Linked DNA regions of Stegostoma tigrinum. The protein of the gene in region 1 interacts with the protein of each later gene in a pairwise test. Links are inferred from orthologs where the notes say so. Each region holds a gene or a part of one and is shown on either strand. Other genes may lie near its edges. The genes, in order: epas1b and basic helix-loop-helix ARNT-like protein 1.

Region 1 (16,909 bases):
ATCTAGAAGTAGCAATATAAGCAACCAATAACTATTTCTGCAGCAGTTAATACAAACTAGCCTGAAAGTAGTTGACGATCGCTTTAAATCGGGCCAGTGGACTGGACTTTTCCTGATGCTTTCTACAAATTTTTTGTTGTGATGTGGGCATTGCTCGCAAGGCCAGCGTTTATTATAAATCCCTATTGCCCTTGAACTGGACAACTTGCCTGACCATTTCAGAGGATAGTTAAGAATCTGTTGTTGAGCAAATATTTAATTGTGAGAAAATAGGGATTAATTCACATGAACTGAAGACTTTCAAACTGAAGGAGAATATCTGAACAAAAATCCACAATGTTTTGAAATTCAAATTTTGGATGATACATAAACCAAAGCCTTTTAAGAATTCCTTACCAATAGAGGGTAATAACTTTGAGAGATTTACTAGGATGTTGCCTGGTATGGAGGGAAGGTCTTACGAGGAAAGGCTGAGGGACTTGAGGCTGTTTTCATTAGAGAGAAGAAGGTTGAGAGGTGACTTAATTGAAACATATAAAATAATCTGAGGGTTAGATAGGGTGGATAGGGAGAGCCTTTTTCCTAGGATGGTGACGGTGAGCACGAGGGGGCATACCTTTAAATTGAGGGGTGAAAGATATAGGACAGATGTCAGCGGTGGTTTCTTTACTCAGAGTAGTAAGGGAATGGAACGCTTTGCCTGCAACGGTAGTAGATTTGCCAACTTTAGGTACATTTAAGTCGTCATTGGACAAGCACATGGACGTACATGGAATAGTGTAGGTTAGATGGGCTTGAGTTCGGTATGACAGGTTGGCACAACATCGAGGGCCGAAGGGCCCGTACTGTGCTGTAATGTTCTATGTTCTATATTCTATGTTTAGCGTGTCCAGGCCATGGTCATATAGTCTTTGAAAAAACATTGACCCTAATACTTTGCAATCTGGAAATTTTCCAAACTGGAATGAAAAAAGGAAGGGAAATAGTTCACTTGCAGAAAGGGCTTTGGAGAGCCACGTGTGAAAAGGTGTATGCTGGAAAGCATCAATTAATTTCTCTCTAGCAAAAGGCCAGAAATGGAAAAGTTTGCTGATGGTTACACAATGTTCAATCTCACTTAGATCTCCTCAGAAACTGAAGGTGGCTTTTCTGAGGAGATTCTTTTCTGCAGGACCCAGACAACTCAACTCTGTCTCCTCAAAACCTGTCTACAAGGTACAAGTCAGGTGTACAATGGAATAATCTCCACTGGCCTGGATGAGTGCTGTGGCAACAAAACTCAAGAATCTCAACAAATTCTGAACACTGAATCTGAATTATCAACAACCTTTCTCCTCCAGCACTCCAACTCCTCCCTCAACTATTGCTTAAATGCTGCCCCTTCCACACTTCATGTCAACTCTGGTGAAGCGTCATCTAGACTTAAAACATTAGCTTGCTTTCTCTCCATGGGTGCTGCCTGATCTCTTGCAGTTTTTGTTTTATGCAAGGCAGAGTAGTCTGCTTGACGGGCATCCCTTCCACCACCTCAAATATTCAGTCTCCCTTTATCACCAGAGTATAGTGGCATACATGAATGTAATCTACTTGATGTAAATATGCTAATACTCCTTCAACAGCATCTTCCAGGCCTAAAATCTGGAATGAAAAGGACAACTGATGCCTGAGAACACCACCACTTGGAAGACCCCCTCTAGGCACATACCATCCTAATTTGTGACCATGGGCTGAATCTTATTATCTTTATAGTGTCATTTTCGTTTAGTTTTATGGAGGATTTCTATCCATGAGGCTAAACAAATTTTCTCATATTATCTGAACTTGCCTGGAAAACTACTCACCATGCTTCTGTTCTGGCTGTCTTGTCCAATGTTTGTCCGTTTTTTCCACTCACTGTAGTTAGAAGTACTCACCACAGTGAGAGTATCTTGAGATCCCTGGTGCCAATGTCATTTTTAAATGGTTGTTGCATGTACACTCAAGAAAGCATTGGCTCTCCAGAGCTGTCCTGCATAGTTCATTGCATTTGCCCCATAGCAGATGAGGGGAAATTGGTTCCCCACTCTTGGCAGGGACCGGGGATCCAGGTGGATGGGTAGTATCCTCTTCTCACAAGACTGCCATAGGAGACCACAACACTAGACTTTCCATTGTAGTGTGTGGTTACCTGCTGGGTCAGTGTAATCTTAGCCCAGCGGTATAGGAAAATGATCAATTTCCTTCTCTGCTCCACCAGAAAGTGCCACCATCTTCTTTCTGCTACCCCATATTCACTCTGTCTCTGCTGCTGCACCCACCTCCCACCAAGGTTTTTCCCTCACTCACTATCACCTACCCAATTCCCCCATACTACTAACCCTGCACAGCCCCTATGGTACCTGTTCACTCCCTTGGGACAGCTCACCAACTTTCCCCAGCTTACGGTGATACTAACATCAGTGCCACCCACTTTCATCTCATTCATTCCTTGCCTTTCTTATATTCTATGAGCAAACAGCCCACAATATAGTAGAAGGAGTTAAGATAGGTGACATTTGGCCCCTCACTTCCTATGAAGAGACAATCGTGACTCTAATTGCCCTGGTGTCTCCTTTGACTTGATTGAGGACTACTCTCTTAAGACTCTGAAACATGGCTACTTACTTAAAATGCATGTGATATGTTTCTATGGATGCTGCTGGTACATGGTGCACATATGGGATTGACAATAGCATGGTGCTATACACCAACATGCCCAAATCCCTTGACTGATCACTGATAGCAGCCATGGCTTCCTGGCGTTGCGTCTGTGTGAAAAGGCAAGTGAAGACTGTGTACTTGTTAGCTCTAACTTAGGGGGCATACCATTGAAAGGGAAAGCAAGAGTGGAATGCTGCAAGCATCATTTATTCATTCACAGGATGTGGGCATCACTGGCTCAGCCAGTATTTATTCCCCAGAGTGCAGTTAAGAGTTAACTGTATTGCTGTCATTCTGGAGCCGTATGTAAGCCAGAACTGCAGTTTCCTTCTATAGAGGGCATTAGTGAACCAGATGGGATTTTCCCAACCATTGAGAATGGCTGCAAGGTTATCACAAGATTCCTAATTCCAGATATTTATTCAATTCAAATTCCACCATCTATCATGGCAGGATTTGAACTGAGGTCCCAGAGCATGGGGTTATTGGATTAATAGGCCCAGTAATAATACCACGAGGCCAACACTAGATGCTAAGTGAGTGAATGCTAAGAAAATGAGCAAGCAGCCCTGAGATGCTCTCCAGTGCAACTGAGAGCTGGCCACCTGGCCTTATGTGGAGAGAATCCTTGCAGCAGCATTCGAATGAGAGGTACCACTGTGCTCCAAACTGAAATACTGAAATGGAGCAGTGTATTGTAAGAGTGTCAGAAATATGCCATGATGGTGTGGAGAGGCTGGCATTTACCAGATGACAGTGCTTTGGATGTGGAGTGTGTGCAGCTCCAGAGGTGTCAGTGGCAGATGAAGGTCCAGAGGAGCAAGTAAAGACTTGCAGTTCCTGTGCCCTTGCCCTGACTTCCATTTCAGGAATTCTCAGCATCCAGTTTCTTTCTGGCAGGTGGCAGAATAAGGGAGTGAAAATGAATGAGGCAAATCTCGTAATAATGAGGGTGATAATGAGCGGTGATCCCCATTAATTGGTCTCTTGCTACTCACTAGTTGGAATCTCAACATCTGAATCTTTGTTGGAAAATGAGACTTATTACTACTGATATTGAGAAAGGCCTAGGCCCGAAACGTCAACTTTTCTGCTCCTGAGATGCTGCTTGGCCTGCTGTGTTCATCCAGCTTCACACTTTGTTATCTTGAGAAAGGCCTTGTTTGGCTTCTCGTGCAATTCTTCCAAGTTTCCCATCACAGCCCACACCTTTCAGGGTCTGGGAAGACTCTGCTGATGATATAGTTCCTTCACCGTCACTGGGTCAACATTCTGCCACTGCCTTCCGTACAGAACAATGGATTCACCTACTAAAAACAGCCAAAAGAACTGTGGATGCTGTAAATCAGGAACAAAAGCAAAGTTGTTGGGAAAGCTCAGCATCTATGAAGGAAAACAACAGAGTTAAAGATTTGGGTCTGGTGACCATTGCTCAGAAGTCTCAAAGGATCACTGGACCTGAAACATTAACTTGGATTCACCTACTAAATGGATTGTAATGATTCAAGAAACCAGCCCACTACCAGCCACTTCAAGGGCAATTAAGAATGGACAATACAGCCTGATCTTGCCAGCTATACTCATCTGCCGAGAATTAATTAAAAATGAAATGTTCCTGTACCTTGCATTGCCGTATTTAAAAGCACAGCTCAACAATTGAATAAACCTGTTACAGAGACTGCAGATGCTGGAGAATCGGTGATAACAAGGTGTAGAGCTGGGTGAACACAGCAGGCCAAGCTGCATCAAAGGAGCAGGAAAGCTGATGTTTTGGGTCGAGACCCTTCCGCAGAAATGGGGAAGGGGAAGGGAATTCAGAAATAAATAGGGAGAGAGGGGAAGGCAGATAGAAGACGGATAAAGGAGAAGATAGGTGGAGAGGAGACAGACAGGTCAAAGAGGTGGGGTTGAAGCCAGTGAAGGTGAATGTAGTTGGGCAGTCAGGGAAGGGATTGGTCAGTCCAGGAAGGATGAACAGTCAAGGAGACGGGATGAGATTAATTGGTAGGACATGGGGGTGGGGCTTGAGGTGGGAGGAATGGTTAGGGAGGCAGGAAAGAGCTGGCCTGGTTTTGGGATGTGGTCGGGGGAGGGGAGGTTTTGAAGCTTGTGAAGTCCACATTGATACCCTTGGGCTGCACGGCTCCCAAGCGAAATTTGAGATGCTGCTCTTGCAGCTTTCGGGTGGCATCATTGTGGCAATGCAGGAGGCCCAGAATGGACATGTCATCCAAGGAGTGGGAAGGGGAGTTGAAATGGTTCATGACTGCGACATGGAGTTGCTTGTTGTGAACCGAGCATAGATGTTCCGCAAAGCAGTTCCCAAGCACCTGCTTGGTTTCCCCAATGTAGAAGAGGTCACGACGGGAACAATGTATGCAGTATACCACATTAGCAGACAGGCGGGTGAGCATCTGTTTGAAGTGAAAGGTCTTTTTAGGGCCTGGGATGGGGGTGAGAGGGGAGGTGTAGGGGCAGGTGTAGCACTTCCTGCGGTTACAGGGAAAAGTGTTGGGGGTGTTGGGGCTGGAGGGGAGTATGGAGCGGACAAGGGAGTCATGGAGGGAGTGGTCCCTCCGGAAAACAGATAAGGGTGGGGAGGGAAAAATGTCTCATGTACCACCCCAACAACCTTCGAATCCAATGCATCATCCTTCGACACTGCCGTCATCTGCAATCTGACCCCACCACAAGACAATTTTCCCTCCCCACCTTTATCTGCTTTCTGGAGGGACCACTCTCTCCGGGACTCCCTTGTCCACTCCACACTCCCCTGCAGCCCCACCACACCCGGCACATTCCCCTGCAACCACAGGAAGTGCTACACCTGCCCCTACCCCTCCACTCTCAGCCCCAACCCAGGCCCTAAGTAGACCTTCCACATCAAACAGATGTTCACCTGCACATTTGCTAATGTGGCATACTATATCCGCTGTTCCTGTTGTGGCCTCTTCTACATTGGAGAAACCAAGTGACGGCTTGGGGACTGCTTTGCAGAACACCTATGCTCAGTTTGCAAAAAACAACTGCATTTCCCAGTCACGAACCATTTCAACTCCCCCTCCCACTCCTTGGATGACATGTCCATTCTGGGCCTCCTGCAGTGCCACAACAATGCCACCCGAAAGCTGCAGGAACAGCATCTCATTTTTCGCTTGACTGCCCTACAGCCCAAGGGCATCAATGTGGACTTCACAAGCTTCAAAATCTCCCCTCCCCCGACCGCATCCCAAAACAAGCCCAGCTTCAAAATCTCCCCTTCCCCCACCGCATCCCTAAACCAGCCCAGTTCATCCCCTCCCCCCACTGCACCACACAACCAGCCCAGCTCTTCCCCTCCACCCACTGCATCCCAAAACCAGTCCAACCTGTCGCTGCCTCCCTAACCTGTTCTTCCTCTCACCCATCCCTTCCTCCCACCCCAAGCCGCACCTCCATCTCCTACCTACTAACCTCATCCCAACTCCTTGACCTGTCTGTCTTCCCTGGACTGACCTATCCCCTCCCTACCTCCCCACCTATAATCTCCTCTCCACCTATCTTCTTTTCTCTCCATCTTCGGTCCGCCTCCCCCTCTCTTCCTATTTATTCCAGAATCCTCACCCCATCCCCCTCTCTGATGAAGGGTCTAGGCCCGAAACGTCAGCTTTTGTGCTCCTGAGATGCTGCTGGGCCTGCTGTGTTCATCCAGCCTCACATTTTATTATCTTAGATTCTCCAGCATCTGCAGTTGCCATTATCACCAGCTCATTCCTGCCTCCCTAACCTGTCCTTCCACGTCAATCTCCACCCCCATCTCCTACCCAGTAACCTCATCGCACCTCCTTGACCTGTCTGTCCTCTCTGGACCAACATATCCCCTCCCTAACTCCCCACCTACATTCACCTTTACTGGCTCCAACCCCACCTCTTTGACCTGTCTGTCTCCTCTACACCTATCCTCTCCTTTATCCATCTTCTATCCGCCACCCCCTCTCTCCCTGTTTATTTCAGAATCCCCTTCCCCTCCCCCATTTCTGAAGAAGGGTCTCGACCTGAAACACCAGCTTTCCTGCTCCTCTGATGCTGCTTTGCCAGCTGTGTTCATGCAGCTCTACACCTAGTTAGCTAAGTGAATAAACCTGACTTGTTTTCAGCACTAAACTCTGGTCTCTGCGTCTGAGAAATGATTGAGTCCTTGGCTTGCTTCAGCTTGTTACCCTGAGACACATGCTACAGCGAGGTCTGATGATCCAAGGAATACAAGTGTTTCCCAATACCTGAATGTATTTAGGCCATGAATATGTGAACGTTATTCACAAATACATGCATTTAAATGAAGAATTAAACTTTTCCTCAACATGCAGGAAGCAATTGTAACCTTGCAGTCAATGCTTTTAAAGGCCTAACTTCATGGTGGTATAGTTAATTCCTTTAATGTTCTTCTCCACACCTAAACTCTATGAAACATTTTCTGGGAATCCTTTAATTCCTGACACTAGTTTTCTTTCCACTATCCATATTGAGGAATCCTATAATTGAACTAAATCTTCACCTTACTGCAACTTGGGAAATAATTCTCAGTCGCTCATCTAAAAATAGCAGTATAACTGCAGCCATAACTTTGTCCTAGAAGCTATTAATAGATGATAAATCAAGATTTATATTATTAAAATTCCCATGATATATGAAGGGATTTCCCAGCTCTTAACTGTTTACTGGAACATTTTTTCCCAGAACTTCAATATTACAGCAGATCATTCAACAGTTACAATACAGATCCTCATTCAAATATTTTTACATACCCTTTCAGGGAGACTCAGTACATCTTTAACTGTTACACTTAATGCCCTTTGTTCTGAAGCACTTTAGTAGCTATCTGGGGAGAACCCAAAACCTTACAGAACAGGCCAAACTCAAAATGTGCCAATCTGCAGTCCTCACTATCCTCCATGAGGCACTGGCTCAAGTGTCCTAAACAGCCAACATGTACATCTTCCAGAGCACTTCGAACAGTGTTGCCTTCATGATATCCTCAGATCCATTAGCAGGACTGTATCAGAAACACTGAAATCCTGGAGACAGCCAGCATCACCAGAATTGAGGCTATCCTTCTGCAAAACCAACTTTGCATTGGTCATGTTGCCTGGATGGACAACAATTGATGGCATAAAATTAGGTTGTACAGAAAGCTATCCATTGTAGCAGGAACAGAAGGGCCCACTTACAACCATTTCTAGTACTGCGTGGGGAAGTCACAATCTATTTATCACACTGACTATTGCTAGTGGGTGGAGTGGGTCATAGATTGTGATGCCTAGACTTGCTTCATCAGGAATGCTACAGCCACCTTTGGAACTGAGCGTAGAATTACCAGGAAAGAGATAAAGAATAGATCCAATTGTCCCCAACAGTGACTACACATTCATTTGCATCTGTGTGGGAGAATTTGCTGGTCACAGATGAGACTGACGCCACCAGCGAATCTGTATCCAATGGATAGTCTTTCCTCACGAAAAATTGCCAAGCGACAGTGGACCTTTGTAAATCGGTCTCGGACTGCAAGTGCTTTGAACCTGAGTGGAAAACAATTCCAACGCAGAATACTTTCTAAAAATATTTCAAACGGATCTCAGAGCAAAGTTTTGGGAAGTAAAAACCGAAAGAAATACAGATGCTGTAAATCAGAAACAAGAACAGAGGTTGCTGGAAAATCTCAGCAGATCTCGCAGCATCTGTGCAGATAAAATCAGGGTTAACGTTTCGGGTCCGATGACCCTTGCCCAAACTCGGACCCGAAATATTAACGCCGATTTTCTCTTCACAGGTGCTGCCAGACCAGCTGAGCTTTTCCAGCAACTTCTGTTTTTGTTTCAAATATTTGATAAGCCTCTCTCTGGTGTAGGAAATATTCAGAGCAGTAGAATAAACCAGGTTGAATTTTGCTGAAATGAAAACCGAAGTATGTTTAGTTTGAAGACTACTAGGTATGTTTTGTTTATCAATTCCAACGCCACCGTTTTCATACTTATTGTGCTGGGAATAAAGTCTTTCAGTTATGTGGTTGGAGAAGTTGGGTTGATCTCCTTGGACAAAAGGTTGAGAGCACATTTGATAGAAATGCTGAAGATCATAAGTGATTAGAAATTACTGGCCAGAAAGGATAAAGAAAGAGGATACTGATTTAAGACAAATGACAATAAGGTCCAAAGTGACGTGAGGGCAATAATTTTTAATTCGCCAATTGGTGAGGACCTGGAATGCACGTCGAGAAATGTGATGAGGACAGATTTCGTTGGGGAATTAGATAAGCAGCTGAGGAGACGGAAGCAATGCAGGGGCAGTGGGGAGGAGCGGGGGCAGGAAGAAAGTGGAGCTGTTGTAGTAGGTTTGACAGAGGTCTAGCACGGAACCCACGGGCCGAATGGCTCTCTGCTGTGCTGTAACCAATCTTCAATTATATAGTATTTAAATACTGATTCTGCGCTGGTGATATTTTTTAAGGAGCACCGATGGGAAATATCTAGGGAGTTCTCTTAACTAGTGTGTTTAGAAAACGTTATCAATTGAGTGAGATCCTCATGAGATGAAGAAGCAACTGGAATCCATCCGAGGACCATGTTGTTTGGCAATTTTTTTATTCCCTTGTCTAGTTTACGTGTAGTCAGGCAATTTCGTCACTAGTATTTCTTTCCAAGGAAATCTTTTAACAGATAAGAACTTGTGAACAAAAAAAATTATGTAACAAGGATGGGTGCTCCTACCCCGTCCGCTCCCAACTGTTCCGGCAGAGAGAGTGGGGAAAAAAGCCCCAAAATGACCCAGATCGATGGGCGGGGCGGGGCCCGGCCGCAACCTATCGCATGTCGAAAATCCATTTACGACCTGTCATCTGGCCCAAGAAGGACGAGAGAGAGAGAGAAACCCCGCCTTCAGCCGAAGCTTGAACCTCCCGCCCCAGTACGAGAGTCTAACAGCGAAACTTTTTCTCCTGCCTGTCCTCTTTATAATTGGTCTTTGCCTCGAAGTGGCTGTACAATCCTCAGCAGTGTTCTGAGACTGTACGGTCGCCTCTCGTTTCCGGGTTGCTTCATGATCTCAACTGTTTGACCCAACTAGGCATTTAAAAAAAAAGAAACCCACATGAAGAGATAAGCGAGAGAGACTGACAAAGCAAAGAAAAAAAAGCTTCGTGAGCAAGGCAGAGAAAGTGGAAACAAAAAAAATCAAATTATGCTTCTTTCTATCCGTATTACACTGTAAAATTGAGCCTCCGGTTGTCAACAGCGCTTCTCGGTCTGTTTTTCTTTTGCTTCTGTGAACTTAATCGTCCAAACCATGACAGCAGAGAAGGAGAAGAAAAGGTAAGAAATGACATTGCATTTGTTCTGATGAAGTTAGCAATAATTTATTTCTGATAAGGTGCGGGCTGATTTTGTCCATATCATTAAAAAGTTCTTGAGGGACTGGACTCCACACCTCCGACATTCGGCGTAAGCTGACAGGAGACGGGAATAGACGAAATGATCAATAATTAACCGTTCTCCTTGTTTTTGATTGGGGCGCTCGGGCTGCGTTCTGAAGTGTTGACAGCTTGCCTGTCTCTCGGAGGCTATCAGCTGCTACCTGCCTGTAGACAGACCTGGCTCTGAGGGCCAGCAATGTTGGCAATACGTCCCTCAAAGCCTTCCCCAAGGGCAAAACCCAGAAGGGAAAAGTTGGCTCAAACTGAGCGAGTGGGCCTGCGCTGTTTAAATAGTGACCTATTGATCGATCAATGTTCTCCTTCACCTGTTTACATTGCCACTGCTGCGCAGTGTATCATCAACAGGCAGGCGAGGCCTGGCCGACAGACTAGAGGGGGCAACTCTGTGGTCGGGCATGTCATCTCCCCGATGGAGAACTCGTACCGAACAGCAACTTTATCGAGGTTATGAAGCTTTTGCTCCCGACTACTATGGTACATTTGCGGCTGCACTAAAAAAAAACCGACATTTCCCCTCCTTCCTCTCTTTCGAGAGAACCTTTGCATTTCGACAGAACACGGAATTTTACAGCAGGACTTTTATAATATAACGGTGTGTTGTTATTTGCAAGGAGAATAATACCCTCAGAAACTAGTCAGCCTGCAAATGGCTATTGCATTCATCTCCAAATGACTAGAGGTCGGCTGGAATTGAGTGTGACAACGCGCCCTGAACGACAGAAGCATCAGACAAGCCTCTGTACAGCCCACATCTGCTGAAGGTTCAACATTGGATAAAAGCAAAAACACAGACATGCAAAACAAAGGATGCATAGATTGCATCCAACACCCCCTCTCCCCAACCCCCGCTCGTGTCCTGGGCATTTGGAGAGAGCTGCTGGTTGCACCTAAGGAGTGACGTTGGGACAATTTGTTGGAGTTGGTGGCTCTGGGTAGTTTTGCTGAGTGAAATGGCGTCCCTGAGGTAGAAAGGACTCACATTGTCAAGGTGCGGCTAGCTACTGTTAATACTTGAGCGATTTCAACAGCAGCTTTACCGTCAGTGTGTGGGTGAAAGGCAGGGTCTGTCCTGAGGCTGGGTTAGAATCAGAAACAGATTAAATGCCAGTTGAAGTTAGACGTAAGCAGAATGTCGAATATGGTACTCTTAATTAAGGAGTTTGCCTGTCCAGAATTACTACTTCGTCGTGAGGGCGGAATCAGGAATGAGATTCACTGTTTGTGATGGCAGTTGACCTTAACCCAGTCCATGCAAGCCCAGTTGGTAGTTAGGAAGGCAAATGCAATGTTACCATTGAAGTGGGTTAGAATACAAGAGTAAAGATGTACTATTGAAGCTGTGCAAGGCTCTGGTCAGACTGCGTTTGGAATATTGTGAGCAGTTTTACTCCCCATACCTAATGAAGGATGTGCTGGTGGTTGAGGGGGTCGAGATGAGATTTACAAGAATCATTCCTGGGGATGAAGGTCTTGTCTTATGAGGAGCAGTTGATGTTTCTGGGTCTTTACATCATGGAGTTTAAAAGGATGGGGGTGGGGTGGGTGGGAACTTGGAGGGGGGATCGCTTATTGAAATTTACAGAATATTGAGAGGCCTGCATAGAATGAACGTGGAGAAGATATTTTCAGGAGTAGAAGAGAGTAGAAACCGAGAGCACAACCGCAGGGGATAGGCCTAAAGAGAAAACCTTTTAGAACTGAGATGAGTAGGAATTTCTTCAGACGAGAGGGTGGTGAATTTGTGGAACTCATTGTCACCAAAGGTTGTGGTGCTGAGTCATTGAGTGTATTTATGACAGCCATAGATAGTAAAGGGATCAAGGAAGGAAGACAGGAGAATGGGAACCAGAAACATATCTGCCGTGATCGAATGGTGAACCAGACTCACTTGGCAGACTGGCCTAATTCTGCTCCTATATCGAATGATCCTCGTCTTATAATGTGTTGACTATACCCCATTTACTAAGCATATCACAACGTTTTGAGGATACAATTTAAAACGGAAATTGGAACAATCATAATGAGAAATTACCTGACAAACGTATGCATTTGAAGAAGCTTCGCTATCCGTAATCTGGGTTGGAAAGCCTCTAAATATTGGGGAGCTGTGTTGCTGGGGTTTGGGTCGTGCCAATCTATTCCAAATAGATAAACCATGAGGAGCGCAATATGTCAACACATTTCTGATAACGCTGGTGTGCTGTTGATGTTTACTGAGTTATAGTCATATGTACAAGGCAACTTTTGTTTAGCCAATAGGCTTTTATTTATTTGACAGTTGCTGTTAGATTTTGCGTTATGAATTGAAAGGCTGTAAAGACTGACTTGTGTCCTCTGCGCATTCCTGACGAAATTCATATGTTCTCAGAGACTGGACAGTCCCGCTTCCAACATTATTTGTAAACGCTTCAATAAAACTGATTTCGAGTCGTGGCGGATTTTTTTTTAACAGGTCAGGACTAGTTTTGGCGTTCACAGAAGAGGGAGAGAGAGAGCAAACGAAACTTTCTCACACTGAGCAGGGACTGTGACTTTTTAGTTTGTTATCCTTTTCTGTTCGATGAGGGCTAATGCTTTCAGTGGCTTGGACAGCAGGTGGTTTATGTTTTGTTCTGTTTTATGCCGGGAAGACCGAACTCCGCAGTTACCTTTAAAGACGGCTGGTTCAGTGCAAGTTACAACACGTTATAACGCCGACATGAGTGATAGGACGATTGTAAGTGAATGTGTTGGGGCCGCTTAGCTCCGATGGTTCCGAGTGTGACAAAGAGTGATGACCGCGGCGTGGGTTCGCTCCCTGAATCGGCGCTTGTGTAGGGAGCCTCTCAAACCCTTATCCAACTCATTCAGTCTCTCTAATTGATAACGAAGACTGGCTAATGTGTCTCAGAGCAAACGGGCCTCAATGCCGGCGTTCAATACGAAGCATCCCCTTGAGAGATTTAAACCTAATTTGTGTTTACTTTCTGTTCAAAATAACTACAGAAATACCACGTCCTGCTTTTTTACATGTAGGAATCCAGAACAAAGTTAGCTAGCAGCAGGAACGCTTTTGGGGCGCTTTCTGACCATGATTCTGACTTTAAAAATCGATTTGAGTAATGAATATATGCAATCTGCAGGTTGTTTCCTTTGTAACACTTTCTACAGAACGCCCTTTGCTGACTCCTGCACACTTGACAACAGCCAAAAAATGGGTTTAAAGTCCAGCTTCATTATGTTTCCAGTCTTGAAAGTAAAGACACTACAGGTCCATTCTGACGTCCCCAAACTCCCCCACACCCCCCAACTCCCACTGACCCGGTGGGGTTCAGTGGACTGTGGGGTGACTAGAATGGTGTTTATTTTGCCTATCCCATGTAAAGGTGCCAAGTTGGAGCGCGTACACCTTACTGAAGTTTTATTATTTTACCACATACCTAACCTGCCACCATAGATGCACCAGAGATAATGGGAACTGCAGATGCTGGAGATTCCGAGATAATAAAATGTAAGGCTGGATGAACACAGCAGGCCAAGCAGTATCTCAGGAGCACAATCAGAGATGAAGGGTCTAGGCCCGAAACGTCAGCTTTTGTGCTCCTGAGATGCTGCTTGGCCTGCTGTGTTCATCCAGCCTTACATTTTATTACCATAGATGCACGTGTATGTTTGTCAATTTTTTTTAAAAAAAATTGAATTATTATCGTCACATGTACATAGGTACAATGAAAAGTTTCGTTTTGCGTGCAGTGCAGGCAGATCAAAGCATACAAGATGTATAAGGGTAATAAAACAGAACGATGAATAAAATGTTACGGCTGCAGAGAAGGTGCATGCAAATATTAGCAAGTTTGCAATTGGGCAGAGAAGGTGCATGCAAATATTAGCAAGTTTGCAATTGGTAATTTGTGCATGAAGACAGGGACAGTCCAGCGTCTAGTCGTCCCTGGAGTGAGATCCACCGTCACTCCTGACCCGTTTAGTTCCAGCTTGAAGCTCGCTATTCCTATGAGCCTGATCAATTCTTTCTCAATATCCTTGTTCAAATAACGGTTGAAAGCGGAGCTTTGAACCCTATGTTTTTAAACATTGAAACATGTTTGCTCGAGACTGAGATTTCTAGCAACTATTCACAGTTTGGCAAATCTGTGGTAGAAGACGCAGTCTCACACACAACTCCCGAAAAGCCGCGGGCCCATCTAAATCACACAGAATAAAATGCCTGTAATCTGTCACTTAAACGTGCGTTCAGAAATTAAACTCTACTATTTTGGAAATCTGAAATGAGAACAAGCAACATCGGGTAGGAAAGATAGCCTGGAGATATTTATATCTCGTCATTCTTGTACATATACTTACAAAGGTTGCACAAACTAAATATATATCTGTATATTCACATATAAATTTTACCCATTTTCTGCTTGAGAATACATCGTTGTGATCAAACTGACCGAAGTGTCGGATTAATATCCGACTTGTTAAAGCTATATTCTGGAGGTTAAATTAAAAACAGATTGTAGTTATTTTGAAAAGGAAATTATTTTCTGGGATGTTGGTAGCCCTGCCCGGGCTGTTTTTGCTGTGTATCCAGAGTTTACCGATAGAGCGGAGTTGTCTCTCATAGCGACTCCAGAGAGGGCGTGAATCGTGGACCGGTGTCAGACTTGAGATGCGTAGCCACTTCCCCTGTTTCAAGGACTTCTACATTTCCTCATTTTAAAAGTTGAAAGCCATACGTACGAGACAGCACCTGTCCACGTCGCATTAATACGGAGAGGTGACATGGGCTTCATAAGGAATGTGTTGAAGTTACACATTGTGTCGTGTCATTTTGGTCAATTGACAGCGTAAGTGCACTGGACTGAAATCTCAGCTGGGAACTGTGTTCATAACAAGCGAGTGACACAAGGATCGCGATTGTGGTGCGGCTCGAGCTGGCCTTCAAGCAAAATTCCATGTTAGGCCTCGTAAATTCACTCTCAACTATCCAAATTTCCCATGCAGATGTTATGTTTGAGAGATAGGCAGTGATCTGCAAGTGGGAGTGAAAGAACGAGGGTCGGCAAAAGTGAATGGCTGCAGTGGTAGCTATTTGGTTGTGAAGCGGATAACAAGTGATCTGCATAAAAACACTCCCATGTTTTCTTATGTTCAGTAGGTGCTAGAATCCCATGATGAGATCACTAAGCTGTTATTTTGAAATATGGACATGTAACAAACAGGTAGATATTTCACAGAAGTGAGCAGCGCACTGCCACCATGTCTCAATGTGCTGGTCCCACAGCAGAATGACTGAGGTTAATAGCCTCAACAATATTTCTTATGTTTAGTATTTCTAAACTTGTTTATATAGAAAAAAATGAGAAATAAACATTTCAAATGAAAGCTAAAGCATAAATGTAGACATTATTATATTTAACATCCTGTAAAATCCTGTGAATGTTGGACATCTGAAATACAAACAGAAATTGCAGTGGAAACACAACATGACTAGTAGCATCTGTCAAGAGAGAAACAGAGTTAATGTTTCAAGTCCAATATCAGTTTTCTTCAGAGCTATTATTGTGTTACTCAACTACGATGACTGCTTTCCAGCTTTAAGATGTGATTGATGCTGTTAGATTCAGCCCAACCAACTTTTCTCTCGAATCAAATAGTGAGGTTGTGATGTTCAGCAGCAATTACACACTTCAACACTCATATGAAATGGTTTTCTTCACTCATTTAAAATGATTGCTTGTAGTTTATGTTGATGAATTAAGTTCCAACTTGATGTGCTTTCAGACCATTCACTTACTTAAATGACCCAGAACATTTTACATGAGAAAAGGCACCGAACAAAGGTTAGGAAGAATTAGGGGAAGAGACCAAAGTTGAAGAGGTAAATCTTAGCCAGACACTTTGAAAAGCAGAAAGAAATAATTAGTTTATGGAGATTATGTAGGAGAGTGACATCATGGAATTTTAGTGAAGTACTAATTCGAAGGGATATAAAGGAGGTCAGAGTTTGAAGAGCAGTCAGCATGTAGAGATAATCACAGAGTGGGGAAAGCATGTGATCAGAGGGTTTTGCAGACCAGGATCGAGTTAGAGGCTGAACAAGTGAGGAGCAGGTTATAAGCATCAGAATTGTGGTAATGTTTTGTATGGTGGAGTTTCCCGTCACACCTGTGTAGGGCATTGATTACTTCTAGTGGTTTTTCTCGTAAACTGGTAAGCTCAGGTTTGTGCACATTTGCATTATTGCTGGAAATACTGATAGGAAGACATTTCAAAAGAAGTGATCCAGGTGACTGAATTGGCCCATGCTAGATCAGACCCAATAACATGGGAGTTATTTGATCCCAGCATTGCTGCTCAGATCTCAGAATGGGATTTTGCAGTAGCAATGGAAGTAATAGTGCTGAAGCGAGGAAATCTGTGTAAACACATTTGTAACATAGATATAACATGCTCAGAGCAATCCTTCCTCTTTAATCTGGCATTTACATATATATTTACACAGATTAAGAAAATGCAAAGCAAAATTAATTTCCATAAAATTAGCTTGCATTAAATTTTACCTTGTGCAATACATGATGCTGCCTTGCTCAGTTTGAAGTTGCCTAAAATGTGTTGCAAGTATTTGTCATTGCCAAGAGTAACAGTTGTATTCCCAGGACATTCCCTGTTTGGAGAGGGGCAAGAAGAGGAAGCGATCTGGGAGCATACTATATTGGGCTTCTGTTCTTATTATTATAAGCCAGCTGGAAATTCAATTTTGTTGGTGCTTTGAACCCATGA
Region 2 (16,945 bases), on another chromosome or scaffold:
AAACAAATCGGAGCACATTCGTGCTTTTTCCCTTCCTGTCTTAACCAATAAGCCATTTTCTCTCTTTTTAACAGTAAACAACTTTCAACTTGCACCGCATCATTCAGAAGCTACTTTGTGCAATCATGCAATTTGCAGTGGTGCAAATGCCCTCTTTTTCTGCCGATTGTGATTTTTGTTCCGTTCTGTGGTCTGAAACGGTGTGAATGTGCGTGTGTGTCTGACTTAGCAGTCATCGGTGCTGGGTTTGCCGACCAAAATCTCTTACTCCCATCAATACTTACATATTGCATCCTTCCTGCTCACTTCGCCTTCGCCATGCTGGCCTTCTGCTGAATAGGCCTAAAATCAGGAATTCCTTCCTTAAAACCTTAAAAGTGCTGCCTGCCTCAGCACTTCTCAAGGCATTTCTGAAAACTTGGATTTTCTGATAGGTGACCAAATGACCTATCTTAATTACTGACATAATTTTCATTTAATACTACTGCTGTGGTGTGCCTTGAAACTTTTTACTCTGTTAAAGATTTTGCATGCGTGCACATTGTTGCAGATCAAAGGGACTTTTTGGATTGGTGTGACAAGAATAAAATGTATGTGCCAAAATCAAAAATAATCAAGTGATGTTGAAAAGTGACTCCATCAGTTTTTAAAAAAATGTGGAAAAGTTTGCATTTGGGATATAGACTTTTTTTAAACTTTATTTCTTTCAAGGGACATGGGTATCCCTGGCAAGGCCTGCTGCCCACGATTGACTCGCCTTGAACTGAGTGGCTTGTTAGGCTATTTCAGAGGGCAGTTAAGAATCAACCACGTCTTTGTAAGTCCGAATCACACGTAGGCTATGTCAGCTAAACAGAGCAGATTTTCTACCCTGGGTAAAAGTTCATTTAAGAGCCTTTTTTTTTGTTTTTGAAAATTGGTGAAAGTTGGTACTGTTTATTATTATTGACACCACTTTTATACGGCAGGTTTATAAACTGAATTCAAATTCTATCAGTTGCAATTGAGGCATTTGAACTTGTGTTCCTTGGAACATTAACTGGAACCTTTGGATTACCAGTCTAGTGACATTGCTGTTATGCCCTTTTGTGATCTGTAGTGTGCTGTGCCTTGTGTTAGAATTGCTTTTCCAACCATGTTTTTCTGATTTTTTTCAACTTGAAAAATGTTAATAGCTATAAATAGCTCTGGAAAATGGCAAATGCCTTATTTTACATGTTTGATCTTCATAAGGTTAATATCATGTTTTGTATGCTTCCACATCCCAACCCCCCTTGCCTGTAAACATTTGAATAGCATTTCATTTACTACATTGTAAACTTCAGCTGCTTTGACCTAATAACCTGGAATATGTCCTCTAAACATGTTCAGTTTCATGCCACTTCTCTTTTAAAATGCTGTAAAGCCTGTATTTGATGAGGATTTTGGTCCCATGTCATTGATAACTCACTGCGTGGTTTTGTATGAAGCACTTTATAATGTCCTACCATTGTTATTAAGTATGTTTCTTGTATTTGGGGCTGGTATTCTAAGACTGTGTTGTGCAATTCTGCTCATTTTGCATTGTGATCTGAAAATATATTATTTTGAATTATTTATGGTTATTGGTTATGGATATTTGGTATTTATGGTTCATACTTTGTACAAGGTGCATCTTTGCTGCTAATGCCTACCTTAGCATTTATATCCGGTCTTTGTATTTCTGTACGAAACACCTTGTAACCTTCTGTGTGTCAAACTATTTCACAATCATGGTGCAATCAGAAATGTTCTGATTTCTGTATGTGTTAACCGAGTGGGATTTTTCCTCTCGTTTCTATGTTATTGATATTGTAATAGTGTCCTCTGACCAGCTTCTGCAAGAGAACATTCACAATTTCTGTTCTAATAGTGATTGAAGAGAAATATTTTTTATTACATCTGAAGTACTTCCACACCCTGCTAAACAAAACACTGGTCATCTTGTTAAAGATTAAAGTCATATTTCTAAACAGTTTAAAATTTGTCTGTCTGTGTATCAACCTTAATCAGAGGAGATCATTTCAGCTAGTCCATCATATTTCAAAGAAGTTATTTGAAGAAGGTAAATTTCTGCTTGCTTTGTACAGTTTCCCTCCCTGTACCCTCAAACAAGACTGGGCACTCAAGCAAGTTCAAGGTGGTCTTAGTTATGGCCATTAGGGGCTGCAGTCAGTCATTGTTACTTGACGTAAGCTAAGGTGTGTTTTAGTTTCTGGGACAAAATCTGGAAATCTGAAGTCTTCTGCAAAGGGAATTTCTAAAGCAGTTTGAGTTGTGACCTTAAAAGGTGCAGAAAATGTTCACAGTCAAATATCCATAACCACAATAAAAAACACTGATACAGTGCTTTCGTGGCAATTGAGCTCTTTACAGATAGGTTTTAAAGTGTAGTTGCTGGTTTAATGTAGGCAAAATGACAGGCTATTTGTGCACAGCAAAAATCCACAAACAGCAATGTGATAATGAGCAAGTAACCTGTTTTGGCGAAATGATTTGAGGAATGGATATTGGCCAGGACATGGGGGAGAATTGTTTTGCTGTTCAAAATGATTTGACGTTTACCCAAGCAGACAGGTTAATGACCCATCCAAAAGGGACCATATCTCAGTTCTTTGCTGGAGTGTCAGCCTTACTTTTTGTTCTCAAGCCCTAATCTGGACATGGAATTTGGCGGCAAGGATATGACCCACAGAATCAGAGGTGACACCGATCTCTGGAGGGTGCGTGACTACACAGTCTTTAAAATAGATCGAGGTGTCACTAGAGTAAAGGTTTTTAAAATTTATTTTGTGCAATATCAGAGGGTAGATGTAGAGAAGATGTTTCCACTTGTGGACAGCAGAACTAAGGCCATATTTATAAGATAGTCACTTATAAAACTAATACAGAACTTACGAGAAACGTCTTTATCTAGACACACGTGGAATTCCCTCGCGAAAAGGGCATTTAGTGGAATATAAGCACAGTACATGTGATTAGGAGTATATTTCTCTGCTGTTCAGCCTGCTGTGTTCCAGATGATCCTAACATGGTAAACATATGAGGGAGAAAGGAATAGAATGACATATTGATATGGAGGAGTTTCTAATGGCTCACAACACTAGCATGGACCATTTGGGCTTACTGGCCTTTTGAGCTGTAAATTCTATGTCATTACATGTTTTTCTGTGGAAGGTCAGTTATTAATCCTAGTCCCACACTATATCAACTCAATCACCACCTCCCCAAGATTGCTTCTCCTAGCAGTGCTTCCTCTGGCCACTTCCTTCAGCTGTTGCACTTTTCTATGTAAGTAGCCTGTGCATTTTACTTTTTAACCACTTGAGAATTAAAAAAAACAAATACAAGAGGTCGGAGTAGACTGCAAAGCCTGTACTGTCATTAGTAACATCATGGCAGATCTTGGACATCAACTCCACTTTCCCATTCACTCCACAGATCCCTGGATTCTGAGAGATTTATATTTATTGTTTTCTTTTTGATTATAGCAGAACGACTTTCCCATTGCTAAAATTTACTGTAACTTTCCTTTGTGTTTTTTATTCTTTCTTTTAAACACTAATCACCACCAGTAACTGCACGTGTAGTTAATTAAATATTTATATGCAAAGCCCATTATGGACAATGTGAACGATCAAAAGTGAGGGAGAGAGGGAAGGTGCTAAGAGATTTGCCATTATTTAACATCTTTCTTGACTTCAGGGAATTCTAAGGCACTTTACAGCTGATGAAGTATTTTTATAGCCATTGTTATATCATGTGATTTGTGTGCAGCCCCCTCCCACAAACAGCGTTGTTATAATGATGAGAGAGTTTTGGTGAATTTGGTAAAGGGAAGAGTATTGCCTTCCTAAATTCTTACTGGACTAACGTCCTGAATCTTTTGCATTCAACAAGAATGTTGCTTTAAAGCATATCCTGTAATGATTGGGACCTTAAAGTGAGTATTCCTTCAGTACTGCACTGGGAATGTTACTGTCTTTTGAATGGAGTTGGACCCACAGTTTTCTAATTCAAAGCTAAGAGTGTTATTCGTTTAGCTGCAGCTGATCTGCAGGATTGATGAGCCTCGATTTGAATTGTGTAAACCCAAAACATAAATGTTTCCTGCATCTCTGCTGCCTGACCTGCTGTATTCCTTCAGCTCCACGCAGTGTTGAGTCCTGAAAGATGTTGCAGCTTCCTGCTCCAGTTTGTTTTGTTAAGAAGTTGAATGATATAGTGTGGTGAGGGAAATCGTAGTGCCAGATGAATTGACATAAAAGTTATCTCTAAGATATTTGTATTAATATTATGCATTAACATTGCCAACCCTCAGTACTGTTTTCCAGTGATGCCCATTGCTTCCATTTTGCCGAGCAATTTCTTATCCATTTTTCTGGTTTTCCTGAGTATTCATATTTATGAAGGCAGTGAATAATTTGAATTCTGGATGTGTGGGCAAGTTTGATGTGGGAGTCGGAATGTCATTCTGAAGAAAAAAAGCTGCACGTTAAGTTCAAAGATGAGCTGCATTTGATATTTTCAGGGAAATGCTTGTAAGCTGAGAAATGTTCCCATTAGTTATGATGTTTGATGTCAGCCATGGCTCAGGAGGTTACCACCACCCCCCCCCCCCCCGGCTCCTGAGTCGATAGGTCACTCCCCGGAGATTTATGAATACAAACATCTTGCACATTTGTACTGACAGAATGCAGCGCTTTTGGAGGTTTCATCTTTAAGAGGACACTCGCGGCCTCTGCCTCTCGGGTGGGGGAATAAATTCCATGGCATGTTTCCAGGAGCCGCATGAGCATGCTCCCTGTTGTCCTGACCAATAGTTTAACACTCAAGCAGTGCTTACAAATGCAGAAGGCTGATTATCACAGTGCTTTTTGTAGAAACTTGCTGTGTGCAAATTGACTTCTGTATTTCCTACATTGCAACATTTCTGTCATAAATACAAATTTGAAAAACTGGGCTCCAAGGATTGGGGAAATTCTGTTCCACCATGGACTTTAATTTGCAAATGTCCTGTGGTTGTTAGGATTAGGCACTATCTCTCTCCCTAGTTACTGCCCCACTTATTTGACTCCTGTACCTACTTGTGAAAGCACTGATTAGTCGTTGATTTTTTTCCAATATGTAATAATCTGAGAACTGCTGAATGTCTTTCCTTTGCTTGCAGCGCATGTCTACATCATGAAAGCTTGCGCACATCACAAGGTAGTTGTTAAAAGTGAATGAGATTAAGCATAGACTTTACATTTCTTTAGGTATTTCACGCTTCCAGTATTATCTGCAATCATCTTGCTTCCCTTTTAACAGAGCTTCTTTGAAATTGTTGCTCATAGGAACAGCATGAAGTTGTCCAGCCCCCAAAGCTGTTCTATTGTCCAATTGCATAAGAGCCTCTCCTGTAAGCTTCATTTATTCTTATCCAACAAAATCTAACTGTCTCTGTTTTGACATTATGAATGGACCCCCACCAGGCCCAGCACCCTTTAGAGGTGAATTCTGAGTTTCTACTGCCCCTATTTTTTATTCTTTTGAAGTGAATCCTCCTGCTTCACCTCTAAATGAACTGGTTTAAGTTTTAAGGTGATGCCCCCTTGGCCTGAATTTTCCCCCAGCAAAGGAAATAGGTTTGTAAAGGAAAACCATCAATTTCTTCCAGTATCTGAAACATCTGAAGTACAGCTGTATTGATTTTCTCTGGTCAAGGGAATTCAGACCTGGCCTATTGTCATAATTTAGTATCATTCTGATGAATCAGTGCTCCTTCCCGGGCAAATGGATTCATTCTGAAGTACAGTGCTTCTAATGGAATCTACACTGAGTTCTCTCTAAATTCCATCATAATGTCAACATTTGTATTTCAGGCCCTTGGAGACAAGAAACAAAATTGATGAAAATGTCATTTTTTGTACTACTCTGAAACATTTAATGATTTCTGTGCACCCCAAATCTCACTGTTCTCCAAGTCTTCACTAAGTTACTGTATCAAATATTTTCATAAATGCTGCCTCCAAAAGGTTACTCGCCAGCCTTTTCTAACCATTTTTTTCCAGATAGACTTGAACTCTTAATTCTGGTAATATGTTTGTATAACTTTAGTTTTGCAACTTCCCTGGGGCCTGTTAATCTAATTTTATAATGCAGAGGTCTCTGCATAGTACTCTACATGTGATCTAACAAAGTCTTGATGCCAGCTTAACACATCTTCTCTGCTTTTTAGTTGTCTTCTTGGAAATGAACCTCAGTGCTTTGTTTCCTTTTTCCATGGGCCCCCTTATCCTGCTTTGCTACTTTTACTGATTCTTTTTTTCTTGTGTATCTAGACTGAACTGTGTCATAGGGCTCTGTCCTTGGGCCTCTACTGTTTGTAATTTTTATTAATGACTTGGACGAGGGAATTGAAGGATGGGTCAGCAAGTTTGCAGACGACACAAAGGTCGGAGGTGTCGTTGACAGTGTAGAGGGCTGTTGTAGGCTGCAGCGGGACATTGACAGGATGCAGAGATGGGCTGAGAGGTGGCAGATGGAGTTCAACCTGGATAAATGCGAGGTGATGCATTTTGGAAGGTCGAATTTGAAAGCTGAGTACAGGATTAAGGATAGGATTCTTGGCAGCGTGGAGGAACAGAGGGATCTTGGTGTGCAGATACATAGATCCCTTAAAATGGCCACCCAAGTGGACAGGGTTGTTAAGAAAGCATATGGTGTTTAGGCTTTCATTAACAGGGGGATTGAGTTTAAGAGTCGTGAGATCTTGTTGCAGCTCTATAAAACTTTGGTTAGACCGCACTTGGAATACTGCGTCCAGTTCTGGTCGCCCTATTATAGGAAAGATGTGGATGCTTTGGAGAGGGTTCAGAAGAGGTTTACCAGGATGCTGCCTGGACTGGAGGGCTTATCTTATGAAGAGAGGTTGACTGAGCTCGGTCTCTTTTCATTGGAGAAAAGGAGGAGGAGAGGGGACCTAATTGAGGTATACAAGATAATGAGAGGCATAGATAGAGTTGATAGCCAGAGACTATTTCCCAGAGCAGAAATGGCTAGCACGAGGGGTCATAGTTTTAAGCTGGTTGGTGGAAAGTATAGAGGGGATGTCAGAGGCAGGTTCTTTACGCAGAGAGTTGTGAGAGCATGGAATGCATTGCCAGCAGCAGTTGTGGAAGCAAGGTGATTGGGGTCATTTAAGAGACTGCTGGACATGTATATGGTTACAGAAATTTGAGGGTGCATACATGAGGATCAATGGTCGGCACAACATTGTGGGCTGAAGGGCCTGTTCTGTGCTGTACTGTTCTATGTTCTATGTTCTATATCTTTGAGTGTAACATCACCTGTCAAAGCTCATTGTGTGAGACAAGGGTTAATTTAGCAGTGATGGTGGCACTGATTCTTTCCTGAGCAGCTGATTCATCTGACCTACTTTAGGACTGACCTTGATTTATTGCTCAGTAGAGGTGTTAGCCCCACGATATAATCAGCTTTGGTGTATGATTAAGCCAGTCATGTGACTGCTCCTTCAACAATCGAGCGATGAGAAAATCAGGCCTTGCTGCGTGAGTTCCCTTTTGCAAGTCTGCTGAAGGTTTGATTGCTGTGTGAATTAGCAGAAAGAGAAGGGACAGCCTATGAGATAAACTGTAGCGTTTCCACGGCACCACAGTTGGCATTTGCTCAGATTTCACAAAAGAAGTCGCCTGTATGGCATGTATTCAGACGGCCTTTAATGTATCTTGGCAACACAAATGGCTCTGGTAATTAGTTTTTTTTAAACTTCCTCCAAGCTCCCTGGCATATTGTTATTCAGAATCCATATTGAGTGTGTATAGCTTATGCAAGAACTTTTGAGTACTGCCGTAGTAATACCATAAACTTAGTGTACGAAGCTGTCCTGAAACATGCGTTGACATCATAAATACAGGTGTTTGATTCAATTGCTATGAGGTTAACTTGAACCATAACAATGCGCATATGTGAATGCTGAAAATATGAAGTTTAATCATTCTTTCAACAACATTTTTCTTGGGATGTGTGTGGATGGTATGTCCAGCATTTATTGCTCCTCCTCAGTTATCCCTAGTGGTGATAACTGCTGCCTTGAACCATTGCAGTCCATGGAGTGAAGGTGCTCGAATAGTAGATAACAAAGTGTGGAGCTGGATGAACACAGCAGGCCAAGCAGAATCTTAGGAGCACAAAAGCTGATGTTTTGGGCCTAGACCCTTCTTCAGAAAAGGTGCTCGAATAGTATTGCCTGACAGAGAGTTCGATGATTTTGACTTTGCAATGATGAAAGAGCAGCAATACACAGCAAAGCCACAATGGTGTGTGACTTGGTATTCCCATATATTTGCTGGTCTTGTCTCTCCAGGTTGTGGAGGTCATGGTTTTGGGGGAACCTGTAAAATCTATACGTCTAACTATGGTTTTATGGTCTGTTTCTGAGTTCACTTCCTTTGCAGTAATAAAGTGTAGTTTTTTTCCAAATATCATTAACTGTTGCATTATATGAACAGCCAACTTCTTTTTCTTTGTAATCAACTATCCTCTTGAATGAGACAAGTAATTTCTTCAGCCAGAGGCTGGTAAATCCATGGAACCCATTTTAGCAGAACACTGTTGAGGACAGGTCATTGAGTGTATTAAAGACGACAGATAGGTTCTTGATCAGTAAGGGGATCAAAAGTTATGGAAAGGAGGCCGGAGAATGGAGTAGAGACACATCAGCCACGATTGAATGTTGGAGCAGATTCAGTGGGCTAAATGGCCTAATTCTGCTCCAATATCTAATGGTCTTATGCATGTCAGCTCTCTTTTTGTCTTATTTTCCCTTCACTTCTGAGCCAGTTGTTCTATGTGCAAACAGCTTTTGTTGTTTTTTATCTTCTCCTTTGGTTGATATTCTCACTGTCAAACTCTGATTGGATTCCCCATTGCACTTGTCGACTAGAACTTGGTTGATTATCTCTTGGCAAGAGATGAATTTCCCAGAAATCTTCTGGAAAAGGAGGATAAGAATGGTGTTTGTCGTTACATCCGTCATCCAGCTGTGCAAAGTAGTCCACACGTCCCTCCCTCCAGTCTGGTTAGATATGGTGGATTAACCTCTGTTGGTGCCCACCTTCTTGGACCAGTTCTGATTGATACTTATTGTTCAATCTGGGGAGAACAGTACCTGTTTTCAAAGTCTGCAGCATTATAATCAGTTGTAGGACATCCTCTTAAAATGAATAGTTGTTTCCCCGCATAGTGAGGGAACTTCCTGTGTAGTAGGTTAACAATAATGTAGTCTTGGTGAAATTCACAAATCACCAGAATTTCCCAGTTTAATCTTCAGGATAGAAATGTGAGCCACCTCGTAGAAAAAATAACCAGAGGGACAATAAATTTATAGTGGAGGGTGTTGAGGGGACAATCGGGCATAGGAGGAAGAGGGACGAAGGATTCTGAATAAGGTAACGAAATATCTGTTTATTTTGGCTGGCGAGACATAGTACTGCCAAGGTGTGCATGTTGGGTAACTAGTCATGAAAGCTCCAAGAATGGACCCAACCAGACTTTGGTTCAAACAACCTTTTCTATCCTTGCACTCCAACACTGGCCCCTTCCATCAGGTATGAGCCATGTCAAGTTACGTTGAAATCTGGACTAATGATATTGACAATGCAATTTCAGATCCCACCATAGTATTCTGAGAATTAAATTCAATTAAAACAATAATCAGGATATTTTTTAAAAAACTGGCCAGTCAAAGTGTGCATGGACTATTGTAAAAACGTAACTGGTTTATTAAAGGCCTTTAGAACGGAAGGGAACTTGTCATTCTTGCCTTTCTTGGTGTATATGTGACCCCAGTTCAACACTATGGCAGTCCACTCTAGTTGAATGTATTTCAAGAAGCTTAAGCACACGCCCTTTTGCCCCCCCAGTTGCCTTGCCTACAAACTCTAATTCCACACTAACTGCCCTCTGAAATGGTTTGGCAAACCACAGTCATATGCCAACCATGCCAGGGACACCTACATGCTGAGAATGAACCAACAAAATGTTTTGTGCTGCTGTCCTTCATTATTAAAATGGTATCCAGAAGCCTTCAATCTGAATATACTAATTTTCCACAAATTGTCTAATCACTGATTCTGTCCTCACCCTGGTATCTACATGAGGTTTGACCAAGCATTTATGTAGGCTTGGTATCTTGCATGACCCCTAGCTGAGAATTCAGTTTACTATCTCAACAACACCAATGATAATTAGCTTAGAGTTACAGTCATACAGCATGGACACCGACTCTTCATTCCGACCAGTCCGTGGCGACTATAATCTCAAATAAATTTGTCCCATCTGCTTGTGCTTGGTCCATATCCCTCCAAACCTTTCCTATTCATGTACTTATCCAAATGCCTTTTAAGTACTGTGTAACTGAACTCGCATCCATCACTTCGTCTGGAAGCTCATTCCACACGTGAACTATTCTCTGCATTTTTAAAAACAAAAGTTGCCCCTTGTGTCATCTTTAAATCTTCCTCCACTCACCTTAAAAATGTCCCCAGTTCTCGAAACCCCTACCCTAGGGAAAAGACACATGCAATTCACCTTTTTCTATACCCTTCATAATTTTATAAACTGCCATAAGGTCATCTCTCAACCTCCTACACTCCAGTGAAAAAAGCTCCAGCCTGCCCAGACTGTCTTCGTAATATGAACCCTCCATTCCTGGCAACATCCCAGTAAATTTTCTGAATCCCCTCCAGCTTGATAAAATCCTTCCTGTAACGGGACGACGAGACATAGACACAGTACTCCAGAAGAAGCCCTACTGATGTCCTCTACAACCTCAACATGATGTCTACTTCTGCGTTTTATAATGTTGTCTTCATCCTCCCAGCTTCAGCTCATCTGCTGTTGAAGCTGTCAAATGTCTCCCCTCCAGATTTGACTGTTCTGAGCCAATGTTATGCCCTCCTTTGCCTACTTCGCAATAAATTTCATTCATACATCATGTCAGCGCTTGCTGATTGATATGGGTTCTCAGGCTAGCCAAGCATCAATTTTAAAATTCTCTTGTTCTGGTTTGCAAATTTTTCTACAACCTCACCCCTCACTAGCTGTGTAATTTCCTCCAACCCTGCAGTCCTAGATCTCTACACTCCTTTAATACCTGTCTCTTGCATGTTGCCAATTTTAATCACTTCACCATTAATGCTTGCGCCCTGACCCAGCTGGGATATTTCCCTAAAATACTCTTAGTGCAAGTTGTTGTTCATGTCCTTGGTCAATATTTGTCTGTCAATGCCTAAAAATAAATTATTTGATCATTTGCACACTTGTTTGTGAGGAAGTGTGTGTAAGTCACTTGTCACATCTCCTAAGTGAATGTACTTCAATAGAATGTTTTATTCATTTTATAAGCTTTGCAATCATCTCAGGGCTGTGAAAGCCATGATATCAATACAATTTTGGAAGGAAGTGGGACATTGTTTTATGCAGGTAGACCCTAAGGGTAGCTTTGATTCTCCATTCACATTGGAAGATGAGACAATCATTAGATATTTAACAGCAGCATTTGGCTCATGCTAATATTTATGCAGTTGTCAGTTTATTGCCTCATCCAAAAAAATGACACCACTGACAAAACTACACTCCTTCAGTACTTGGTGGAAATATTGATCTAGATTATACACTGTACACCCAGCCTGGCAGGGGATGTGGGTTTTACCAATTTGATTCCTCACATAATACACATTCTTGGTTTCAAGATATTGTGGTTAGGTGATGCCAGGGGAGTCTTGAAGCACTTTTTGGACCTTGGAGCTGAAAGATGCGACAATTGCGTGCCCTGAACACTCCTCATCTAAAATGGATCGCATGATCAATTTGTTTTTTTTCTATGAGGATAGCTGCATATTTTTTGACAGAAGTTGACAGGGGGGTGGGGAATGCATGACAACGAGGTGGTCTGTTGACCTGGAAGGTAATTGTAATTCTGTACTTCACAATGTTCCAGATTGTCCAATGGCAGACCAAAATATGGACATTTCCTCAACAATAAATGATCTTATCTCGTCGGATCCAGCTGGATTAATATTGAGCTCCTTGGGCACAGCAAGCATGGACTTTAACCGGAAGCGCAAAGGAAGTTCAACAGATTATCAGTAAGTTTTTAAATAAGGGTGGCTTTATCTTCGGTTTGACAACTTCTTTGCAACACATCCTCGATTATAAAGAGGGAATTTATTATCCTTTCTTCTAGAATCTAGTTGATTTGTCTTTGCTGCTCAGTCTGTTTTGTCTCTTTGAGATAGGATGGACAATGTTGTAGATGTAGAAAAGAGTGAGGAATGTCAAGTTGATTGCATGGGCATAGGGGCTGTGTAGGATTTGGTATTTGGGAATTTGGAACGATGTAAATATATAAGTTTATTTCAGGCTTTTTTTTTTGTTTGTTTTGACTATTAAGTGGATCATCTCCATTCCAGAACCTTGAGCATTTCACTAAGTTGACATTTCCCTTGCTGGTATCACCGCAATCAGAAATGACAGCTGTAAACGAAAACGTGACTGGAAAAGATTCTAGGTATTATTGTGAAGAAGTGAAAGGAAGCTCTCCCTGGTGTCCTAACCGATTTGAATCCCTCCATCAAAATCTCACACAGAACAAAAACCATCTGGTCGTTGTGCTAATTAGCCACTGTTTCTTATATTGCAACCCTACCTACACTTCAAAAATGACTCTAGGCTGCAAAGCCCTTTGGGATATTGTCAAAGGCACTTTTTTTGGTTTTTCTCTGTGACTCTGTTCTGCTATTTGTTTCTTGGAGAGAATAGCCTGAGGTATTCTTCAGTCACATTTAATTATGGCACAACCAAAGTAATTTATGAAGCTGTTGAAAGTTTTTAAAAGAAGACCATGGCAGCTAAGATGATACCACCACTCTGAGTAGAGGAAACTTAGAATTGGGGAACAGTTTGTTCTGGATGTTAGTTCACAAGTAAGCCATGCCATACCACACCAGACCATTGTCCTGTGTATGTTGCATGAGTAACCTTAAATTTTATAAACTGTGAGATTCTGTTGTCAGAATAATTAATTTTGATTGGTCATTTTTCAAGATTGCATCTTCGATATGTGCAATTTGTTAAGAACTGATGTTAGTCATTCATGGATTCTAGTTTGTAACAATTGGATTGGATGCCAATTATTCCTTTTGTACCCGCACTGATTTTTGATGTAACACTGTCACAGAAGAGCTTTCATTTATATTGTAGTTCTTTTTCTATGTTTCCAAATGCTCTACACCCAAGTACTTTAATTGAAGCATAGCCACTGTTGGTTTTAGATGAAGGACTGGCGATAAGGACATGTTACCTGCCAGGTCTTGGCTGATGTCGTCCAGGATTTTATAAGAAGTAGCTGCTGAGGTAATAAATGCTCTGGCTTCAAGTTTCAAAGACTTGCTACGCTCTAGGAAAGTTTCGCCAGGTTGGAAAATAGTGAACGTAACTCCTCTATTCAAGAAAGAACAGACATAGAAAGCAGGAATCCACTGGCCAGAGCGCTTAGAAACTATCTATGATCAGGCAGAGTCAACATGATTTTATGAAAAGGAACGTGAGTGATTGATATGAGGTAAGTGTGAAGCTGGACGAACGCAGCAGGCCAAACAGCATCAGAGGAGCAAGAAAGTTTGACGTTTCGGGTTGAGACCCTTCTTCAGAAATCGTAGAGGGGAAGGGGATTCTGAAGTAAATAGGGAGAGAGGGGGAGGCAGATAGAAGATGGATAAACGAGAAGATAGAGTGAGATGAGACAGACAGGTCAAAGAGGCAGAGTTAGAGCCAGTGAAGGTGAATGTAGGTGGGAAGTTAGGGAGGACGGACAGGTCAACAAGGCGGGATGAGGTTAGTGGGTAGGAGATGGGGGTGGGTCTTGAGGTAGGTCAGTCCCCACCTACACTCTCTCCTTCACTGGCTCTCACCCCGCCTCTTTGACCTGTCTGTCTCCTCTCACCCTGTCTTCTTTATCCACCTTCTATCCGCCTCCCCCTGTCTCCCTATTTATTTCAGAATCCCCTTCCCCTCCCTCATTTCTAAAGAAGGGTCTCGACCCGAAACGTCAGCGCTCCTGCTCCTCTGATGCTGCTTGGCCTAATGTCTTCATCCAGCTTCACACTGTGTTATCTCAGATTCTCCAGTATCGGCAGTTCCTACTATCTCAGTGATTAATATGTTGGATTTCTCTGAAAAAGTAGCAAACAGCAGGGATAAAGGGGTAGCTGTGAGCTTGCTGTATGTAGATTTCTAGAAGGCATTTGACCAAGCAGCACATTGAAGCTTACTACTCAAAATAAGATCTCATGGCATTGGGAATAACATATTGGCATGGAAAGAGAATTGGTTAGCTAACATAAAATAGAACAGGCACTAACAGATCATTTTTGGGTTTGGCAAGATGTGGTAAGTGGAGTGCCAGGAATCTCAACTTAGATCTCAACTATTTACAATTATTATCAACGAATGGATGAACAAGGAGTGTATGGCTGCTAAATTTCCTGATGACACAAAGACAGGTAGGAAAGTATGTTGTGAGGAGGGCGTAAGGACTTTACAAAGGAATATAGATTGGTTTTGAGTGGGTAAAAATCAGCTAAATGGAGTAAAATGTAGGAAAATGCAAACTCCTCCACGTTGGGAGGAAGAATAGCACAGCATGTTATTTAAATAGAAATTACAGAGCTCTGAGGTGCAGAAGGATCTGGATGTCCTATTCATGAATCAGATAAGTTTAGTGTGCAGGTACAGTAAGTGACTCGAAAGGCAAATAGTGTTGTCATTAATTGCAATGGTAATGAAATATCAAAATAGTGATGTTTTGCTACAGTTGTATGGAGAATTAGTGAGGCCACATTTGGGTACTATGTACTGTTTTAGTCTCCATACTTTTTTTTCAAGAAAAGTATGGAAACTACATTGGAAGTATTTCAGAGAAGTTTTTCATTCAAGTGATACCTTGTTGGGACAGGTTACAGTTTATTTTATGAGGAAAGGTTGGACAGGCTGGCTTTGTATCCTTTCAAAATTTTGAAGAGTAAGATGTGATCTTATTGAAAAATCTTGAAGGTACTTGACAGTGTGGACACTGGGAAGATGTTCCCTCCACAACCAACAACCCCCCCCCGGCCGTGGAGAGACATGAACTAGGGGACACAGGTTCTAAATAGGATGAGGAGAATATATCTATGAAGATCATGAATCTTTGGACCTCTCTTCTGTGGTGGTGCAGGCAGGATTGTTAAATGTTCTCAAGGCAGAACTCTAAATTAATAAGTGAATCAAGCAGTATTGGGAGTATATGGGGAAAGTACAACTGACGCTGTAATCAAATTAGACATGATCTTATTAAATAATGGAAAAAAACTCGAACAGGTTGAATGGCTCATTCCTTCTATTTTGTATGTATGCTGTCGAGCAGAATGCAGTACTGGTGGGTGTAGGAGATTATAAAGGGACATGGTAGATATGCAAAAATATGTTAGTTAAAGTTCAGTGTGAATAAATATAGGTCACTCACTCTGAATCTGAGAAGATAAATTGGCATATTTTCTGAATGGTGCAGCATTAGGAGTTTAAAATGTTAAGGGTATCTGCTAGGGAAAACATGGAGAAACTATTCCTTCTTGAGCAGAATCCAGAACAAGGGCATACAACTCAAACCAGAACAGTTTGCCATTGAGGCAAATCACCGGCCTCTCCTGGAAATGTGGTTACTCCGGAAACTCTTGTCCTGAAATTATTGGGTTCTGATATCAAATAGTTTTAGTTGGAAAAAACCATTCATTCAATCACCATTTTCAATGGGTAACTGTGTTATCTAGCGTTTTTGAGCCATTGTAAATTTGTTTGTCACTGAAGTAAAAGGATCGCTGTCCTTATTTTTCTCCGACTGATGGCTTTTAGTTCGAGGAGTAATGAAGGTGTGAAACAGGCTTGGCTACCTGAAGTGGATGTGTGGTAGGAGTTTGGAGGAGAGAAACAGGATGATGTAATAAGATGTTTTAAATGGACCATTAAATGCCAACACAATAGAGCCTCCTTAACATGGATGAGTCACTTAGTTCTATCAAACCCGAGTGCTGTGTGAGCTGTGACATTTTTATGATCTGTTAAGATTTTGACACACTGCTTTGGATATTCTGGCACTGCACAGACCACTCAGTAATTGGGCATCTTTCTGTTTGGAAGTTCTCTTTCCTATTGGAAGCCCTTGGGATATGGGAGTTACTGGCTTGCATTACCCATTCTTCCGTTGCCCTGAAATTGTGGTAGTGGTGGCAGAGGTCTTTTCTTTCTGTGAAGGCTTGATATAGCCAGGAGTCATTGGGTGTTGGATTTGAGTCTTAATAAGCTTCCTCCCTTATCGAAGCCTATCTTCACCAAATGATGTTAATTAGGTTTTTAGTGACAAATTGTTTACTTTTTATTAACCAGTTTTTAAGAATGTGTTTTCTTTTTCTTTTTAAAAGTTGAGTTTGAGGTCTCAAACTGTTACTGTGGAATGAATAGTTGTTGAATCCATAAAATAGAATCACTAAATTTCATATGAACTGTGGAGACCTTTAACAAGTCGGTGGAGTTGTGGATAGTGATGAAGGATGCTGTAGGTTGCAGAGAGACATAGATAAGCTGCAGAGCTGGGCTGAGAGTTGGCAAATGGAGTTTTATGCAGACAAGTGTGAGGTGATGCACTTTGGTAGGAGTAACCGGAAGGCAAAGTACAGGGCTAATGGTAAGATTCTTGGTAGTTTAAATGAGCAGAGAGATCTCGGTGTCCATGTACACAGTTCCTTGAAAGTTGCCACCCAGGTTGACAGCTATTAAGAAGGCATACAGTGTTTTAGCTTTTACTAATAGAGGGATCGAGTTCCAGAAC

Evidence for each region.
Region 2: the proteins of epas1b (region 1) and basic helix-loop-helix ARNT-like protein 1 interact in binary tests that used the Homo sapiens proteins (3 or more experiments, as listed by UniProt). The link is inferred for Stegostoma tigrinum from reciprocal best matches to the Homo sapiens genes EPAS1 and BMAL1.

Annotation. Positions count from the first base shown.
Region 1 is NC_081362.1:68,834,813-68,851,721, reverse strand, and holds the start of epas1b (endothelial PAS domain-containing protein 1b), read left to right. Parts: upstream 1-9,611; 5' UTR 9,612-9,996; coding exon 9,997-10,022; intron 10,023-16,909.
Region 2 is NC_081370.1:38,025,185-38,042,129, forward strand, and holds the start of basic helix-loop-helix ARNT-like protein 1, read left to right. Parts: upstream 1-7,538; 5' UTR 7,539-7,741; coding exon 7,742-7,769; intron 7,770-12,022; coding exon 12,023-12,170; intron 12,171-16,945. UniProt on the Homo sapiens protein: Transcriptional activator which forms a core component of the circadian clock.